Saccharomyces cerevisiae S288C: one gene and its partners. Changing the gene in region 3 together with the main gene of any one other region gives a genetic interaction. Each region holds a gene or a part of one and is shown on either strand. Other genes may lie near its edges.

What was found.
Region 1: mutations in SAE2 (region 3) and DIA2 together harm fitness more than expected from each alone (negative genetic interaction), as found in Saccharomyces cerevisiae (4 studies listed by BioGRID, with this or other methods).
Region 2: mutations in SAE2 (region 3) and RMI1 together harm fitness more than expected from each alone (negative genetic interaction), as found in Saccharomyces cerevisiae (3 studies listed by BioGRID).
Region 4: mutations in SAE2 (region 3) and FUN30 impair growth when combined (synthetic growth defect), as found in Saccharomyces cerevisiae (3 studies listed by BioGRID, with this or other methods).

Annotation. Positions count from the first base shown.
Region 1 is NC_001147.6:472,862-478,152, reverse strand, and holds DIA2 (DNA-binding SCF ubiquitin ligase subunit DIA2), read right to left. Parts: upstream 3,560-5,291; coding exon 1,361-3,559; downstream 1-1,360. Other genes in the region: TGL5 (triacylglycerol lipase), read left to right, coding at 1-1,214; Mn(2+) transporter ATX2, read left to right, coding at 3,737-4,678; BUD21 (Bud21p), read right to left, coding at 4,784-5,291. UniProt on the Saccharomyces cerevisiae protein: F-box protein component of a SCF (SKP1-CUL1-F-box protein) E3 ubiquitin-protein ligase complex which mediates the ubiquitination and subsequent proteasomal degradation of target proteins. Probably recognizes and binds to phosphorylated target proteins.
Region 2 is NC_001148.4:501,192-504,997, reverse strand, and holds RMI1 (Rmi1p), read right to left. Parts: upstream 1,482-3,806; coding exon 756-1,481; downstream 1-755. Other genes in the region: methylenetetrahydrofolate reductase (NAD(P)H) MET12, read left to right, coding at 1-659; putative serine/threonine protein kinase SKS1, read left to right, coding at 2,815-3,806. UniProt on the Saccharomyces cerevisiae protein: Structure-specific DNA-binding protein with a preference for cruciform structures. Also binds single-stranded DNA (ssDNA). Functions together with SGS1 and TOP3 to maintain genome integrity. Essential for proper meiotic cell division.
Region 3 is NC_001139.9:171,925-176,175, reverse strand, and holds SAE2 (ssDNA endodeoxyribonuclease SAE2), read left to right. Parts: upstream 1-1,853; coding exon 1,854-2,891; downstream 2,892-4,251. Other genes in the region: chromatin-binding exonuclease XRN1, read left to right, coding at 1-649; BUD13 (Bud13p), read right to left, coding at 831-1,631; YGL176C (uncharacterized protein), read left to right, coding at 3,097-4,251. UniProt on the Saccharomyces cerevisiae protein: Endonuclease that cooperates with the MRX complex in processing meiotic and mitotic double-strand breaks by allowing the endonucleolytic removal of SPO11 from the break sites and ensuring both resection and intrachromosomal association of the broken ends.
Region 4 is NC_001133.9:112,706-119,126, forward strand, and holds FUN30 (DNA-dependent ATPase FUN30), read left to right. Parts: upstream 1-2,213; coding exon 2,214-5,609; downstream 5,610-6,421. Other genes in the region: CCR4-NOT core exoribonuclease subunit CCR4, read right to left, coding at 1-654; ATS1 (Ats1p), read right to left, coding at 909-1,910; LDS1 (Lds1p), read right to left, coding at 5,859-6,421. UniProt on the Saccharomyces cerevisiae protein: DNA helicase that possesses intrinsic ATP-dependent nucleosome-remodeling activity and is both required for DNA repair and heterochromatin organization.

The DNA of each region.
Region 1 (5,291 bases), on a different chromosome or scaffold from region 3:
CGCCGCTATTCGAGAAAGATCCTCACACTGGAAAGATTAAAGAGTGGGGGGCAACAAATTTACATTTATCAAACATGAAATTCATGGACGGATCTGTAGATAATGACATGCCCATTTCTCGTCTTTCTGAAATGTTCAATGTCGACCACATTATCGCCTGCCAGGTAAATATACATGTCTTTCCCCTGTTAAAGTTTTCAAACACTTGCGTTGGGGGTGAAATTGAAAAGGAAATTACCGCCCGTTTCAGAAACCAAGTAACAAAGATCTTCAAATTTTTTTCCGACGAAACTATTCATTTTTTAGACATCCTAAAGGAGCTTGAGTTCCATCCCTATTTGATGACCAAATTGAAACACCTTTTTTTACAACAATACTCTGGCAATGTCACAATTTTACCCGATCTATCAATGGTTGGTCAATTCCACGAAGTATTGAAGAACCCATCTCAACTTTTCCTATTGCACCAAACTACTTTAGGTGCAAGAGCTACTTGGCCGAAAATTTCCATGATTCAAAATAACTGTGGCCAAGAATTCGCCTTGGATAAGGCCATCACATTCCTAAAGGAGAAAATAATAATCTCTTCGTCAATAAAAAACCCTTTACAATTCTACCAACCTCGATTCAGTGAGCAAATCAAATCTCTTTCCATAATGGATGCTGACTTGCCGGGAGTTGACTTGGAAGAATCCTCCTCCAATTCACTATCAATTATCAAGTCTCCCAACAAAACAGCGGCACCGGGAAGATTTCCTCTTCAGCCATTGCCTTCTCCATCTTCTACCTTCAACAAGAGGAAAATGGATATGTTATCGCCTTCTCCATCGCCTTCTACATCTCCACAACGTTCAAAATCTTCATTCACGCAGCAGGGTACAAGGCAGAAGGCAAATTCTTTATCGTTTGCCATCGGTGCATCTAGTTTACGGCTAAAGAAATCACCATTGAAGGTTCCATCACGACCTCAATTCAAAAAAAGATCTTCTTATTATAATCAAAATATGTCGGCAGAGATGAGGAAAAATAGAAAAAAATCTGGAACAATTTCCTCTTATGATGTTCAAACAAACTCAGAAGATTTTCCCATACCGGCTATTGAAAACGGTTCATTTGATAACACTTTATTCAATCCAAGCAGGTTCCCCATGGACGCTATGTCGGCTGCCACAAACGACAATTTCATGAACAATTCAGACATTTTTCAAAATTGAAATGAAAGACAATAAGTACATTTTTATATAAAAAGCTTTCTATATTCTCACCTCCATCAACTCCAAAAGGTACATGCCATTTTGTTATATTAAATATTCTAAGAATTTTCCGAAGGATACTGCATTATCATCAGTGATTTATTAATCTATGAGTATGAATATGAATTAATTCCAAATTTTCTCCATACATCTCTTTCATAAACACAATCCACTTGAGTAACTAAGTTCTGCGCTCGGATCATATTAACTGTGATATGAGACACTTGGGAACATCCGTCAATATTTAAATATGCCAGTGGTTGACCTCCCGCTTCGTTGTCATGATCCATCTGAAATTTTTTTAGAAATTCATATATTGATATTCCTGTAATTTCAAAATTGTGCGAAATGTCAAGCCTCTTTAAATTTTCCAAAAATGGTACATTAATAATGAATGACTTCATCGTACTATCATTCAAGGAGCTGAGATGCGATAAATTTATTTCTTCCAACTTGGAGAGTCTCTTCAAAACTGCATTCACATCCAGTATCATCCTTGCTGTATGAGCGTGATTATTTGGGAACTGGATGTTGGGGCAATTCCCAATGTTTAAACTTCTTAATTTCCGACCATCCAAGTATTCCTGCTCGCATAATCTAGTCAACGCAGAACCACTTATCGATGTCCCCATTAGATCCAACTTTTCCAGGTTTTGGAGATTTTCCTTGTAAAATAGCATGGATGGCACCTCGTCGTCATTCGTAACAGGCTGATCTTCATCCAAATTAACAATTGGATATAGCTTGTTCTCTCTAAAGGTTAACTTTTCCAAGTTTTTCCAGACATTCGAAAATTTTAACAATTGCAAAAACTTACTGAGTTCACAGTTGTCGTTATCTTCTATCCATAGTTCTTTTAGGTCTGGGAAGTTCAATAGCCATTGAAAATTCATTATGTCTTGATTATTCATAGGAAATGTTACACCAGTTATCGTCAGTTTCTGCAATAGAGGAAACTGGCCTCTTAATAGAGCACGACAAAGTGGAAAATTCTTAATTTTCTTCTTATCACATATCAATGTTATCTTCTCTAGCTCACTATAAATCACCTTTTCTTCTACTATTCCCTGTTCATCATTATCCGCAGTGGATATCTGCATATTAGTATGACGGGCCATCACATTGAAACTTCCATCCCTCCCAACGCTATTATTTCCGTCGAAAATTGGTACCAGTGAATTGACAAAAATTAATTCTATTTTTTTCAACAGAGGACAAGTCTGCAGTATCTCCAATTCATGTTGTTTATCAGGCCTATAAGTTATCATGAGAGATAATTCCAGCAGCCTTGTAAAAAAATCTGTGCCTCCTCTAACCATTAACTTAAAGATTTGTGTTGTAGTTAGTGTTGGCATTGACAGTATAAGCCGTTCGATGTTTATACATTTCGGCATTTTACTGAATAATAATTGAGTTATTCGTAACTCTTCCGAAGTGATTCTAGAACTGACTTTTACTTGTGAAAGAATATATTTTCTATACGTCCTGGTGAAATTCTGTTGTAAAAAATCCATAAACTTTACAAAATTTTTAAAATTTATTGGTGCCAAGTTGAATTCTTGGAAGCAGTCTAAATGATACAAAATTTTGTCCCTCCATTTGTTACAAACTAGCGACAACGTAACAAGCTCCTTAGTGGTAAACCTTTGGAATATGATAGGTAGTATTTCTATCGGCAAATTGCCAACTAAATCAGTTTTCTTGGTACTACCTTTAATCTTCTTCTTTGGTAACGATTCTAGAACATTATTATTCTTTTTTTTTTTTGCTATTTTGGTCTCCTCTAATGGATCTATATAACTTCTCTTGCCGTCCTGTTTTTGAACCATGTTATTTTTAATGAATTGTTTTTGTTGTCTTAGATGATTGCTATCGTTATTGCATAATTGCAGTCCACGAGAACATGTTTTATATGCCCTTTTCCAGTCTTTTAATTTTATCAACGTCCTTGTACATCGTATATAGCATTTGATATTACCTGGTTCTAACTTAAGTAACCTTTGTGATACGTCCAAACAAGATTTCAAATCATTCAATTTTTCGTAGCACGCACAGATGTTATCCAATATCTTTATGTATCTAGGATGATATAATCGTTTGTTATCCGGTCTCGCAGTATCTAATTGATACGCGTTCCTAATGCGCATAATCTGCTCCTGAGAATAAGAATCACATACTCTCAAAGCATTTGTGAATATCCTTTTCGCTTGCAAATATTCTCCAGATTTAAAAAGCCTCGTTCCTAATTCAATTGCTTTCAGAACGGTAGAATCTATAGCCACGCCTGAATTCCCTGGGGAAGACATCGGGGTGTATTTTTTGTTCTTGGTAATAAATTTATACGACATGGCTAATCATTTTGCATGTCTATTTATAATATTTTTCGAGAAATAACTATAAAAAAATGACGAGAAACAGTTTAGCTGCATAAAAACTTCTCAAATAAGCGCGGTTTAAAGCTAGTGTTACCAAGACCGATAATAATGAAGTTTTTGGGTGTAATACTGCTAGCAAGTTTTCTTTTGATTGCTACCTTCCTCATAGGGCTTATCCCATTGTATTATATTGATAAACAAAAAAGTTCCATTGTCACAAACCAAGAAGGTGCTGACTCAATTTCTGATTTTACTACGAACGCAGATACTCAAACGATCAATGACGATGTTAGTAGTTACCGTGTGAAGATTGCCGTTCTATCACAATTCGGTATAGGAATGTTGTTAGGTACATCATTTATGTTGGTAATACCGGAAGGTATCAAAGCGTGTGTCGAACATGATGGAAACGTTGGTGTGAATTTATTAATTGGGTTTCTAGGTGTTTATGTTCTTGATAGGTTGGTTACACTATGGGTTTCTAGAAAGCAAACGGTCTATACGCATGATGCTGTCAAATTTCAAAGCTGGAAAGATATAATAAACCATCCAAGACAAATATGGATGAACTTAATACAAAACAATGTTGTCTTTGCCTTATTCATTCATGGACTATCTGATGGAATTGCATTAGGTACGACAACGAACAATGATTCACTGCTCATAGTGGTGTTAATTGCTATAGTTATTCATAAAATTCCTGCCGTTCTTTCCCTCACTAGTTTGATGGTATCGAGACAAAACTTAATGAAATGGGAGGTGATCTGTAACGTTTTCTTGTTTGCGTCATCGACTCCGATCGGATACATAGTGTTATCCCTTTTGAATCTGAGTCATTCGCCAACGATGGATTGGATAAGTGGAAATCTTCTGCTTATGAGTGGTGGCAGTTTACTATATGCGTCTTTCACAGCATTTGTTGGTGGAGATTCTCATGATCACGATCTCAGCGTTGAACAGGAAGTCGTTTTACCTCATGATGAATCCGTTTATGTTTTGATAGGTGTCTGCATACCGTTGGTGATATCGTACTGCATCTCTGAAGAATAACCTACCAAACTTCAGTATATATTCTCATTGTTTGATTATAGATAAATGAACATTATGATTAATTTTGTGATTGTACTATTATTTTATTATGTTGTATGCTATATATTACCCTTTATTCAAAGCCTTTCTATTTAGCCAACGGTCTTTTGAACGTATGATGGATGATTCTTTCTTTGGTGGTAATGTTTTAGAATCTTGTGTGGTGGATAACAATTGAACTCTAAATTTTCCTCTTTTCACCGAATCTTTCCTTAAATTTTTTAATGTCTTCCTTTTCTTAGTTTTTATAGCTTTAGCCAATGCCTCTTCATTTTCATCTGACTCATCCAATTTATCGAAAGTTACATGTCTTGAAGATGAGTACTGCGTACTACCTTCGTCCTTCTGATCTATATTTTTTAGCAATTCCTCAGGAAGCTCCGCAATTACTTCATCAGTGACCTCTGTCTCATTCACTGATTTCTTTTGCTTGGCGTATAATTCATTTTGCTTCCTTCTCTTGGACCGCAATTGTGATTGTTCCAGCCTTATAGCCTCCTCCCTCTGAGTGATCTGTGATTCTACCTCACTTTTCCCAGAGTGAAGCCCTTCTTCTTGTGGAGCATCATCATCA
Region 2 (3,806 bases), on a different chromosome or scaffold from region 3:
GCAAAGCGCTTGAACTATGGGGTATACCAAAGACAATTGGCGATTTAAAAGATATTTTTATAAAATATTTGGAAGGTTCAACGGATGCGATTCCCTGGTCTGACCTGGGTTTATCAGCTGAAACGGCGTTAATACAAGAAGAACTAATCCAACTAAACTATCGCGGATATTTGACTTTGGCATCGCAACCTGCCACAAATGCTACATTGAGTAGTGATAAAATATTCGGCTGGGGGCCCGCGAAAGGGAGGTTGTATCAGAAGGCATTCGTAGAAATGTTTATTCATAGACAGCAATGGGAAACAACTTTGAAACCCAAGCTAGACCATTACGGGCGTCGGAAATTCAGTTATTACGCGGGCGATTCATCTGGTTCATTTGAAACGAACCTAGACCCGCACAGCTCTAGCGTTGTAACATGGGGTGTTTTTCCCAACAGTCCGGTCAAACAGACTACAATCATTGAAGAAGAGTCATTCAAGGCATGGAGAGATGAAGCGTTTAGTATCTGGTCCGAGTGGGCCAAGTTATTTCCAAGGAACACCCCAGCCAATATTCTTCTAAGACTAGTGCATAAAGACTACTGTCTTGTCTCAATTGTTCATCACGACTTCAAAGAAACCGACGAGCTATGGGAAATGTTACTCGACCAAGCCTAATATTTCACTGAATATAAATACAAAAATGCGAAAATAATGTAATATTTAACGTATACATAACGGGCAGAACGCCCTTCTAAGAAGAAGAGGCATATGCTAATCATTGGCTTTCCTTTTCTTGGAGCCGCCATTTACAAGTTGTTTGTCACGTTGTAATTTAGATTCCAAATAATCACAAAATTTCTGATCTCTATTTTCATTCCAAACTCTATTAATGCCGCCGAGAAAAATGACTTGTGAGTCCTTCAATATGAAAACGCCCCTATTGAACACAGTTCCCGGCAGTATCACAATTTTAGAACCCAGCATGCAAGAGCTCCAAGATATTGGAGTCGAGTTGATAGCAAAAAAAACGTCGCCCGACTTACTTTGTAGTGTCAATTTAAACACTGCTTTATTCTTGGCGGCACTGCTATTATTGTTGCTATTATTTTCCTTGGCGCAGTTGTTATCCGCCACATTCCCGTCATCTTCCATGTCCACTTGAGTGATGACCTCGTACTTCTTAGCGCCATTTCCTTGCGCGCCTGATCGTAGTCTATCCACTTTCTGTTTTTTCGGATCCAGCTTGGTTTTTATATCATCGATCTGTGTTAGCTTGGATTTGGTGATATTCTCTACCATCAACACCTGGAACAACAGTTCTCTGTCTACAATAACAAGTTTTTTATCTAAGATAAGATTCGAAGCAGTACCAGCCAACCAAGGTTCATTTTGGTAAGCTCTGAAAACAATCTGTTCTCTCGACCCCAAGGTGGCGGAATACGCTGGTGGTGTAATGTCATCTGTGATATCCTGTGATAAGATAGATGAAAAAGACATTCCATCCACTCGGTAGTATGTATGCTCTGCAGTATTTTGGCCTTCTTCTCAGTACTCCCTTTCTGTAAAGATTGTATGATTGGTTTATCTTTTTCCTTTTTCCTTTTCTTTTTTTTTTTTTTTTTTTTTTTCTTTTTTCTTAATAATTAGTTTCTCTTCACGCTACATGCTTTCTTGGCCCGTCCTGAGTGCAGTATCATAATTAATTTAGTAAATAAAGAAATAAACGAAGATGGACCCTCAGAGCAAACAGCCAAGACCGCTTGCATTGCAAAGTAATCTATTATTGTGCGCTGGGCCGCGGATGCCGCGGATAATAAATAGCCGGACCTGTCAAGAGGACGATAGCGGATGCGCTGGGAAGAGCTGTACTCTATGTACACATATGTATTGGTTGGAGCATATGTGCCTACATAATATGTCTAGTTGGCTCAAGCCCGTCAACTAATTAGTCTGAATGTATGGAGGCTTCTGCTGGCTCTAGCGATGTCGTCGTATTTACGTCACTGTAGTTCTCGACTCCCCGGAAAAACCTGTTCGCGTGAGCGGAACAACTTTCCATTGAGGCTTAGTGGAGGTATTTCCGGAGAGGGCATTCATCCCGGATTTCCTATTAGAATGGTGCAGTACGCCGCCCTCGCGCTCTCTACATGCTGTTTTAGCGCGCGTGATATGGACATAGATGCACCACGCGGTGTTTCTTTTCTAGGCATCAAGTGGCTTGCAGCCAATCAAACACGAGGAATGTGGGATGGAAGTACAATCTCCTCACCGCACACCCACGTTTTCCGGGACATTTCTCGGACAGACTCTTTTTTTCTTTTTTTTTTTTTTTTTGCTTCCCACGAAATCGGAACTTATCTATCAGCCGAAGAAAGCGCGTTGGACAGATACTTGAGCAGATTTTGTGGGGAGAGAGAATCTTGGGACAAATGCAAAAAAGAAATGGTCGGAACAAAAGGGCAGTATACAGGGCCGGCAGTACCTTCTGTTCCTACCACAAACCTTAACGATATCGGTGACCCTACTAAAACTGTGCAATAGATATTCCGGACCCACATCATTGCGGTGTTTTCTGAGTCCGCACTCACGGGACGAAGACGAAGAAAGACAAGAGCCTACAAATGACTATAGCGTTTTCTTTTTCCTTTTTATGCTCTTGCTACCTTTTTCGCATGAGAGGACATTCTTAAGGCGTATATTCTTATATATTATACAAAATATATTTAGTAAATTGTTAAATTTACTTATTGACTTAAATCGCCCTAGCGGAAACAAAACTCTTTAAAAGAAAACATCAAATAAGAACACAGACAAGAAATTTTGTGTACAAATGCTGTCAGACTGCTTGCTGAACAATTTCAGAATAACGGCTCAAATAGGGTCGGGTGCGTATGGACTAGTGTTCCATGTGGTGGATATACTGACGAGCCGTGAATATGCAGTGAAAACGGTCTTCAAATCCTCCTCGATGGATGAGTTTTATAATAAGAACGGTTTGAACAACAACTCTCAAGTGGCGCGAACCACTCTTCTGCAAACGCAACTGTATCATTTTTTCAAAAGTTTCCAAAAAAAATTGTTCTTACCTTCCGTTGATCTAGACTCGATATTACAGTTGACTGAGAATGAACTAAATAGGCTACCACACTACAGGGAGATTGCCTTCCAACTAAGAGTGCAGTCTCACGGCAATATCGTGAAGATTCACCAAGTTTTAGAATCTTCTATTGCCACTTTTATAGTGATGGATTATTACGACAGGGACCTTTTCACCTCGATAGTTGACGATAAGCATTTTGTAAATCATGGTATTTTGATTAAGAAAGTTTTTCTGCAGCTTTGCTCCGCATTAGATCACTGTCATCGTCTCGGTATATATCATTGTGATATCAAACCTGAAAATGTCCTACTGGATCGCAATGACAACGCTTATCTTTGCGATTTCGGGCTTTCCACTAAATCTAAATATCTAGCTCCAAATGTGTGCGTTGGCAGTTCATATTATATGGCTCCAGAAAGAATATTGTATTGTTTGAATACCACCACCAACGGCATACACGTCGACGAATGCTGTTCGAGCCTCCCTACGGATACAGGAGATATATGGTCTCTAGGCATCATCCTAATTAATTTAACTTGCATAAGAAACCCATGGTTAAAAGCTCACCAGAAGGAGGATAACACATTTCAACATTTTGCTAACGATAATAATGTCCTGAAGAAAATCCTTCCTATATCAGATGAGCTGTTCACAGTGTTGACGAAAATTCTACAACTAAATCCATACACAAGAATAGACATGAAAACTTTGATGTCCGAAGT
Region 3 (4,251 bases):
TTCCAAACCCGCAAAGAAAGTTTTGTTAAAAAGACCAGCTCAGAAAAGCAGTGAAAACGTGCAAGTTGATTTGGCCAATTTTGAAAAAGCACCGCTTGATAATCCAACTGTTGCTGGATCTATTTTCAATGCCGTTGCAAATCAATATTCTGATGGTATAGGCAGTAATTTGAATATCCCAACTCCACCTCACCCAATGAATGTGGTTGGGGGTCCTATTCCTGGAGCGAATGATGTTGCAGATGTTGGTTTGCCGTACAATATTCCCCCAGGTTTTATGACGCATCCTAATGGTCTTCACCCATTACACCCTCACCAGATGCCTTACCCTAATATGAATGGAATGTCTATTCCGCCACCAGCACCACATGGGTTTGGACAACCGATTTCCTTCCCACCTCCACCTCCTATGACAAATGTTTCAGATCAAGGAAGTCGTATTGTTGTCAATGAAAAGGAAAGCCAAGATTTGAAAAAATTCATTAATGGTAAACAGCACAGCAATGGTTCAACTATTGGGGGAGAAACAAAGAACAGTAGGAAAGGCGAGATTAAACCTTCTTCTGGCACAAACTCTACTGAATGTCAATCGCCAAAGTCACAAAGCAATGCTGCTGACCGTGATAATAAAAAAGACGAATCTACTTAGAACATACGACTAAAAACGAAGTATATTCGAGGTTACTTTAATAGTATATCTGAGACCTATATAAAGAGGGGTATTTGTATTTAATCGTTGATCTTGTTAAGAAAAAGCTTATAACAAATGGGGATTGTCAAAGGGTATTTTTTACACAAAGCTTTCCGCATAGTTATATATTATCTCATTTTCAATAATCCTCCTGTAGGGTGTAGCTTTGCACTTTCTTCTCATTGATCTCATTTTGCTTAGCAAACCATTTTTCTTCAAAGCCATTTGATCTGTGGACACCGTCCCATCTTGACCCAGGCATAATGGCAAACCTGTTCTCAGGTGCTGGCTTATCATAAAGCTTGCGGCCCAGTAAAGATGTTTTTACAGTTCTTTCTTTGTCATGTGTAAATGTTATTGCAGGGTCTTCTATCGTCAGACTCGAGGCAGTTTGATTTTTCTTCTTATCATGTGCATCTACATTTATTCCAAGCTTTTGCACGTCTCCCATATTCAAATTTTTCAGGTATTGCTCTCTTTCCGCGGCTTTCTCATCTTCATATTTAGATCGACTAAAACTAGAATCGTCTATCTTGGAATCTTCCTGAATCTTGTGACCTTGAGCGTCTCTGTATATGGTTTTTCGTGTTTTCGATTTGTCTGCTACTGTGACAAGTGGCTCTTGAGCCCTGATTTCCTTTAGATCGTTCTTGCTTTCGTTGCCAGTAATTGACGATGCGGAAGGATGTGTTATTGCATGGGAAAGCTCGTTTGTTTCCAGGTTCTTCCATATATTCTTGCTTTTTTGTTTGTCAAACTTGCTGAATGAAGCAACTCCTGACTTCTCCTGTTCTTGTTGCAGTGTACTTAGCCGTTCTTTTACTATCAAAGAAGTTTTGTCTGAGTTAGCGTCTGATTTTGACTCTTTCTTCTTCTTTTTCGTCTTATTTTTGGGTTTCGTGGGCCCATAAGTCTCTGATAAATACTGATGCAATGCCATGTAATAAACGTCCTGTTGTTATCTTCCACCATTCGAGTCTTGAGAACAACTTTCAAAATCAAGTCAAATAGCCATTTTCTTTATGCCATTTTCTAAGCGCGTTCTACAAAAAAAAAGCTTTTAAGCTTTAATACCTTTTTTGTTTACGTTTGCAAACATTGTTATCGTTCACATACCTGCATTTCCATCCATGCTGTAAGCCATTAGGTGTTTGTATGTGAGATGGTGACTGGTGAAGAAAATGTGTATCTAAAGTCAAGCTTATCCATTCTCAAGGAGCTCAGTCTCGATGAACTACTAAATGTGCAGTATGACGTGACTACCTTAATCGCGAAACGTGTTCAAGCACTGCAAAATCGGAATAAATGTGTTCTCGAAGAACCTAACAGTAAACTGGCTGAAATTCTATGTCACGAAAAAAATGCTCCTCAACAATCCTCTCAGACGTCTGCGGGGCCAGGTGAGCAAGATTCTGAAGATTTCATCCTTACTCAGTTTGATGAGGACATAAAGAAAGAATCAGCAGAGGTTCACTATCGTAATGAAAATAAACACACTGTGCAGTTACCGCTGGTTACTATGCCACCTAATAGGCATAAACGGAAAATTTCGGAGTTTAGTTCGCCTTTAAATGGCCTCAACAACTTAAGCGATTTGGAAGATTGCTCTGATACTGTAATCCACGAAAAAGATAATGATAAAGAGAACAAAACAAGAAAACTATTGGGAATAGAGCTCGAGAACCCTGAATCTACATCGCCAAATTTATACAAAAATGTTAAGGATAATTTCCTGTTTGACTTCAATACGAACCCTTTAACAAAGCGAGCCTGGATTCTCGAAGACTTTAGACCAAATGAAGATATCGCCCCGGTTAAGAGAGGAAGAAGAAAATTGGAGCGATTTTATGCCCAAGTTGGAAAGCCAGAGGATTCTAAACACAGATCATTGTCAGTAGTTATAGAATCGCAAAATTCGGACTACGAATTTGCGTTTGATAACTTGAGGAATAGATCAAAATCCCCCCCAGGTTTTGGAAGACTGGATTTTCCCTCCACTCAGGAAGGGAACGAGGACAAAAAGAAATCCCAGGAAATCATCAGAAGAAAGACAAAATATAGGTTTTTAATGGCAAGCAATAACAAGATCCCACCGTACGAGAGAGAATATGTATTCAAAAGAGAACAATTAAATCAAATTGTTGACGATGGATGTTTCTTCTGGAGTGATAAATTATTGCAGATATATGCTAGATGTTAAACGCCAGCGATCATCATTCTTTATTCATTACTTCAAATACATTTTTTTTGGTATGGTTGAAAGGGCTTTTTTCCTCGTTGGCATATGGGAAAAACTGAAAAATAAAAAAAGGCAATGAGATGAACAACAATGGAAAACAAAAAAGGGCGAATAAATAAGCAGCAGTTGGTAAAGCAGAAAGGGGAAGTTAACGGACGTTAAACAAATGACACCTAACTTACCAGGGTTTTATTATGATAGAGAACGTCGACGTTATTTTCGCATATCTGAAAATCAAAGCATTTCTACCACGGGAACGACGAACCAGTACAGAAAAGATAATATAAAGCGACAATGTGTTGAGGAAAATTACGATAAAAAATTTTCTATGATTAAAAAAAAACGTCAGCAAACATTACAAAAGTACAAGCTTAGTCTTCTGAATCCGTTGGAAAGGGCTTTTCGCCCTTTATCATATGAAAAGTACATGATTGGTTTAAATATGCAGTATGCATCGCATTCTCTCACTGAAGGTCATCACTCACATAGTTCTGCTAACGTAAAATCACTCAATTTTCCACACAGGATACAGATAGGAGTATTAGCAAATTGTATTTTATTGGTAACTCAAGAAGGATGTTTTCATAGTAAATTAGTATTTGCAACAAACAAGGGCTATGTCGCAGGATTTTCATCCCTGGATAATTTTTCTGAAGAAAATTTCTTTACGGGGTTTTCCATGGCTGAATTAAATCCTATGTTGAAATATAAGTCCGAGCCAACTGATGTGTTCAAAACAATGAAACTTGAGAGAACAGTTGCCATCAAGGAAGGGCCGAGCCATTATTTTTATCACAACGTTAATACCAGATCTAACGTGCATACTTTTGCCATCTTTTTACAAGACTTTTCTTCCTTAAAACTGCTCAAAATTCGTCAGGTCAAACTCAAAGAAAATTGCCAAGTCCATGATTCTCTTGTTGTTGGAGACACGTTGATTATTACCGTAAATTATCGTTGTCATTTTTATGATTTGATTCCAGAAACCTTTCCAAATCCCTATATCTTTTCTCCTGCCAAAAGCTCAAGAAAACACAAAAGTAGGAGTGACATTACTTCCCTATCATTTTGTCTACAAGAAGATGCTTTATCACCTTTAAAAAAAACGAACACCGGTGTGTTTTATTTAGGTTACAGAAATGGTGATTCAATGGCAATAGTCTTCACTAATATTACAAACATGACATTACAGTACTCCAAGACCAACGGTATGACATCAGAAAGTCGAAATCAACCTATCAGAAATTCCCTAAAATCTGTTGTTTCCATAAAAGCATTGAATAATAAAGGCCTAATACTTATATCTGGAATGGCAGACAAA
Region 4 (6,421 bases), on a different chromosome or scaffold from region 3:
TGCAGCCTGAGGTCCGGGGCCAAATGGGCCCGGGACCTGCTGCTGTGCCTGTTGCTGCGCTTGTTGCTGAGCTTGCTGAGCCTGTTGTGTAGCCAAATACTTCTTCATAGCGTTTTGTCTAGCATAAATGTTGGGTTGCCCCAGAGATTGTGCGGACACTGCAGCCAGATGCAATTGAAGCTTCCAGATCGGATTGTTTAGTAAAGAAGGGTCATCCAAGTGCGGGTGTAATAAAGGGTTACTGGCGTTCACATTGATGTTCACAGGCGTACCAACGGTAGGAACCATCCCTATAGAATTTACTGCGGCTGTGGAGGCATTCATCATCACCCCGCTTCCACCGCCGTTGTTGTTGTTGTTGTTGTTGTTGTTATTGTTGTTATTGTTGTTATCCATGTTCATATTGAGCATGTTCGCGTTCCCATTAGCCAATTGGTCGAGCAACTGGCGCGAGTTGTTGTTGCTGGAAGTGTGTACATCGCTGTTGTTCATGAGTCCCGGTGGAGGTATCCCGGTGAGCTGGTTCATGTGTAGCTGCTGCTGTAGAGCGTTTGGTGTACCCTTTCCTAGTAGCCCGGCATGCTGCTGTTGCTGCTGTTGCTGTTGCTGCTGCGGGCCCACATTAGGGTAGCCTAGTAAAGAAGGGTCGTTCATTAGCGGTAGTTTGCAGGGATAACGTCAGTCGGAGTTCCCTTGCTGGTGTCCCTTATGCTGTGCCCTTGTGCTTGAGAACCTTCTCTAAGGTGGAAACTTTTTCAAATTTTTTCGTTGTTGGCCCGTTTTTCGCAAGTACGGGCGATAACAAAAGGCCTAAACGGCTACTTTACCTTTGAGATCTACCACGATGAGAATTAATGCTGAATGGACATCTATGTATATGATAGTGGGTATATAGTTACTTATCAGTGCTAGAGCACGATCCACGTGGTGGCACATCCGCCAAACACGCGAGGTTTTCCAGAGTATTGGCCCACGAGCTGCAGTCCAGGCTGGGAGCCCTTTTGCGGGCCGCAGTTGCCATGCTCTCCCCAGCCCCAGCAGTATACATTGTAACAGTGAGACTTGCCTTCTTGATTAGCAGTAGTTAGAATACCGTGCTCACTCCCGGTTGCAACACCGACAATAGGGAAGTCTAGGCGCTCTTGCGGGAAGAGTTGGGAATGTGTGCCCCTACCAAACGACTCTACCGTATTGAGGCGCGCATTCCACAGGTGGATCGAGGTCCACATGCACAGTACCACTAGATTGTGTCTTTTTTGCTGTTGTTTGAGCTCGAACCCAGTGGGCAGGCGACCGGATGCGTGCACTATGCGGCCGCCCTCGTCCACTATGACCATGAAGTCCTTGCCCATGGCCACGTAGTCTACGGCCACAGACCCGGTATCGTACACCAATACGGGCTCTTTCAGTGATCGGGATTTGGGCTCTTGCAATTGACACTTTGTGTTGCTGCCCCAGCCGTATACTCGGGTGCCTTGCACCACCACAAAGTTCTGGAAACATCCGTATACTGCGATGCGCTCATCGTTGGAATTCAATGGCACATGTTGCTGAGTGAACTCGTAGCAACCGCCTCCTCTCTGCCATACACGGCCATCAGCATCCACAATAACTGTCGTGTCCCAGCCGCACGCCACATCCACCACGGGTGCCGGTACTTCCACGGGCCTCCAGTCATGCACCTGCCGCAGTGCTTGCGCACTATCCAGTTCTCCCCGTCTGTTATCTCCACATCCTACCAGATTCCCGTCATTTGTCAGCATCACGCTGTGGTTCCCACCGCACGCTATCTTCCTGACTATTGCTCCATCATCTCCTGGCACAGACCTCTGTGGGGTATCCATATCCTCATCGTGCCCCAGTCCCAGTTGCCTTTGCCCATTAGACCCAAACGCATACACACAACTCATCGATACAAGCCTGTTATAGCCTTTAATGATCACATTCCATCACTTGCGCTTTGGATCTGCCTGCATTATCAAGGCTCAAACGGCTGCGTTACCCCCGTCGCCGCGAAATTTTTCATAATTTTTCACTTTGTAGGATTAAAAGAGATCATGAGCCCATCTCGCAATGCAACACGTAACTTAAATCAGTACTGGCGTGTGCTATAGTGCTCTATATTCGAGTTTGTTGCTACTGGTGGACACCCGACTATCTACAGTAAGGAACGTAAACAAGAAAAAGAGAGAAAATACGCTATAGTTGAAAACATGAGTGGTTCGCATTCAAATGATGAGGATGACGTAGTGCAAGTGCCCGAGACGTCCTCTCCCACCAAGGTAGCATCGTCGTCTCCCTTAAAGCCTACTTCGCCAACAGTTCCGGATGCAAGTGTGGCGTCTTTGAGAAGCAGGTTTACTTTCAAGCCTTCAGATCCCAGCGAAGGAGCTCATACTTCGAAGCCGCTCCCATCTGGGAGTCCTGAGGTAGCACTGGTTAACCTTGCGAGAGAGTTCCCCGATTTCTCTCAAACTCTGGTGCAGGCTGTTTTCAAATCTAACTCTTTTAACTTACAGTCTGCCAGGGAACGTCTTACAAGATTGAGGCAGCAAAGACAAAATTGGACATGGAACAAGAACGCATCTCCCAAGAAGTCAGAAACCCCGCCACCTGTCAAGAAGTCATTACCACTGGCAAACACAGGCCGTTTATCATCTATCCATGGCAATATCAACAACAAATCCTCCAAGATTACCGTGGCCAAACAGAAAACGTCCATTTTTGACCGTTACTCAAACGTCATCAACCAGAAACAATACACTTTTGAGCTGCCAACTAACTTGAATATAGACTCGGAGGCACTGAGCAAGTTGCCCGTGAACTACAACAAAAAGAGAAGGCTGGTAAGGGCAGATCAGCATCCAATTGGCAAGTCTTATGAGTCATCCGCTACACAATTAGGTTCTGCAAGAGAGAAACTACTGGCGAACCGCAAATACGGTCGTCATGCAAACGACAACGATGAAGAGGAGGAAGAGAGTATGATGACGGACGATGACGATGCAAGTGGCGACGACTACACAGAATCCACGCCGCAGATAAATCTGGATGAACAAGTTTTACAGTTTATTAATGACTCTGATATTGTCGATCTCTCGGACCTCTCAGATACCACGATGCATAAGGCTCAACTCATAGCCTCACATAGGCCATATTCTTCTTTAAATGCCTTTGTAAACACAAATTTCAATGATAAGGACACTGAGGAGAACGCATCGAACAAGAGAAAAAGACGTGCGGCTGCATCCGCCAATGAGAGTGAGAGGCTGCTCGATAAAATCACCCAAAGTATAAGAGGTTACAATGCAATTGAGTCTGTGATCAAGAAATGTTCTTCCTACGGTGATTTGGTCACTTCGCAAATGAAGAAATGGGGTGTGCAAGTGGAAGGCGATAACTCTGAGTTGGACCTGATGAACCTTGGGGAAGACGATGACGACGACAATGATGATGGCAATAACGATAATAATAATAGCAACAATAACAATACCGCTGGCGCAGACGCCACTAGCAAGGAAAAAGAAGATACAAAGGCCGTAGTGGAAGGTTTTGATGAAACTAGCGCAGAACCTACTCCAGCACCAGCACCAGCACCAGTGGAAAGAGAAACAAAACGAATTAGAAACACAACTAAGCCAAAAGTGGTCGAAGATGAAGATGACGATGTAGATTTGGAGGCAATCGATGACGAATTGCCGCAGTCTGAGCATGAAGATGATGACTATGAAGAGGAGGACGAAGACTATAACGATGAGGAAGAAGATGTGGAATATGATGATGGTGACGATGATGACGATGATGACGATGAATTTGTCGCTACCAGAAAAAACACACACGTGATCTCCACCACGAGCAGAAATGGCCGTAAACCTATTGTCAAGTTCTTCAAGGGCAAACCCAGACTGTTAAGCCCGGAAATTTCACTAAAAGACTACCAACAAACGGGTATAAACTGGTTGAATCTGCTATACCAAAACAAGATGTCATGTATCCTTGCAGACGACATGGGTCTAGGTAAAACATGTCAAGTCATTTCATTTTTCGCATATTTGAAACAAATAAACGAACCGGGTCCTCACTTGGTTGTTGTGCCATCATCGACGCTAGAAAATTGGTTAAGGGAGTTCCAGAAATTCGCACCTGCTTTGAAGATTGAACCCTACTATGGCTCTTTACAAGAAAGGGAAGAATTGCGTGATATCCTGGAAAGGAACGCTGGGAAATATGATGTTATCGTGACCACGTATAACTTGGCTGCAGGTAATAAATACGACGTTTCGTTTTTGAAAAATAGAAACTTCAATGTTGTGGTTTATGATGAAGGTCATATGTTGAAAAATTCCACTTCAGAGAGATTTGCCAAACTGATGAAAATTCGTGCCAATTTCCGCCTTTTATTAACTGGTACGCCATTACAAAATAACTTGAAGGAACTAATGTCGCTGTTGGAATTTATCATGCCAAATCTTTTCATTTCCAAAAAGGAATCATTTGACGCAATCTTCAAACAACGTGCCAAGACCACAGACGATAACAAAAATCACAACCCGCTATTAGCGCAAGAAGCCATTACAAGAGCTAAAACGATGATGAAGCCATTTATTTTGAGAAGACGTAAGGATCAAGTGTTGAAACATTTGCCACCAAAGCACACGCATATTCAGTATTGTGAATTGAACGCAATACAAAAAAAAATATATGATAAGGAAATACAAATCGTGTTAGAACATAAGAGAATGATTAAAGATGGCGAATTGCCAAAAGATGCAAAAGAAAAGTCTAAATTACAATCTTCAAGTTCCAAAAATTTAATAATGGCATTGCGAAAGGCCTCTCTGCATCCACTTTTGTTCAGAAATATCTATAATGATAAAATCATCACTAAAATGAGTGATGCCATATTGGATGAACCTGCTTATGCTGAAAACGGTAACAAAGAGTATATTAAGGAAGATATGAGCTATATGACGGATTTTGAGTTGCACAAACTATGCTGCAATTTCCCGAACACGTTATCCAAATACCAACTTCATAATGACGAGTGGATGCAATCTGGGAAGATAGACGCTTTGAAAAAATTGCTGAAAACAATCATTGTTGACAAACAGGAAAAGGTGCTGATATTTTCCTTATTCACTCAAGTCCTGGATATTCTAGAGATGGTTTTGTCCACCTTAGATTATAAATTTTTAAGATTAGATGGTTCCACGCAAGTGAATGATAGACAACTACTAATAGATAAGTTTTATGAAGATAAGGATATTCCCATTTTCATCTTATCAACAAAGGCAGGTGGATTCGGTATTAATTTGGTGTGCGCAAATAATGTTATTATATTCGATCAAAGTTTTAACCCACATGATGACAGACAAGCTGCTGATAGGGCACATCGTGTGGGACAAACAAAGGAAGTTAATATAACCACTTTAATTACTAAGGATTCCATAGAGGAAAAGATTCATCAACTGGCCAAAAATAAACTAGCTTTAGATTCGTATATCAGTGAAGATAAAAAATCTCAAGATGTGTTGGAAAGTAAAGTTAGTGATATGTTGGAGGATATAATTTATGATGAAAACTCGAAACCGAAGGGAACCAAAGAATAAATAAATAAAAATATAGTAAAAAAGTAAATAGATAAGCAGAAAATAAACCAAAAAAATAACATATTTATTTTCTTCTGCGTGAACGCACCATGTGGAAAAAGAGAGTTGATAGAACAAAGGACAAAGAAATTTAGAACGGTAAAAATATTTTCTAGAGTATAATATACATATATGTGTATATATACATAGGTTAGTATGTATAGCTAGGTAATTTTAATCTGGGGAGAGAAATGGTGAACTTTTTTCAATTTATTGATTCGGTTGTTGATTGATATCTTGTGGTGCTGCTTCAATTTCAGCTTGAGTTTCTACTAAATTTTCAGGGACCATTGGATGATCAAGGTTAAATAAAACGCTACCAATAGTATTTGTAGAAATGGCAAAGCCCGCTAAAATGGGCACGGACTCAATCAAACCGGCCAAGAAACCAAATGAGGCATATTGGCCAGCGTGGAGATAAATATTTTCACGTCTTTGTATGTTGTCGAAATTTTGTAAACGTAAAACTTTCGTGAAGTAAATTTGAGTGATGAAAGGAGAAATTAAAATATGAAAAAGGATTGGTCCAATAAGTGGGAAAAAAGATATAACCAACAGCACAAAAAGAACCGACAGGCCTAACATGTACTTGACCAACTTGAATGGGAAATAGTAAGCCCAGAAATATATCGAGTTAATAGGTGCATAGTACTTGATTGGTTTGACTTCACTCAAATTCTCCTCTAAACCATTCTTCTCTAAGCACACCTCCACTAAATGATTATTAAAATGACTGAGTCTCATAAACAATAAAGTGAAAACATTTGCTTGCA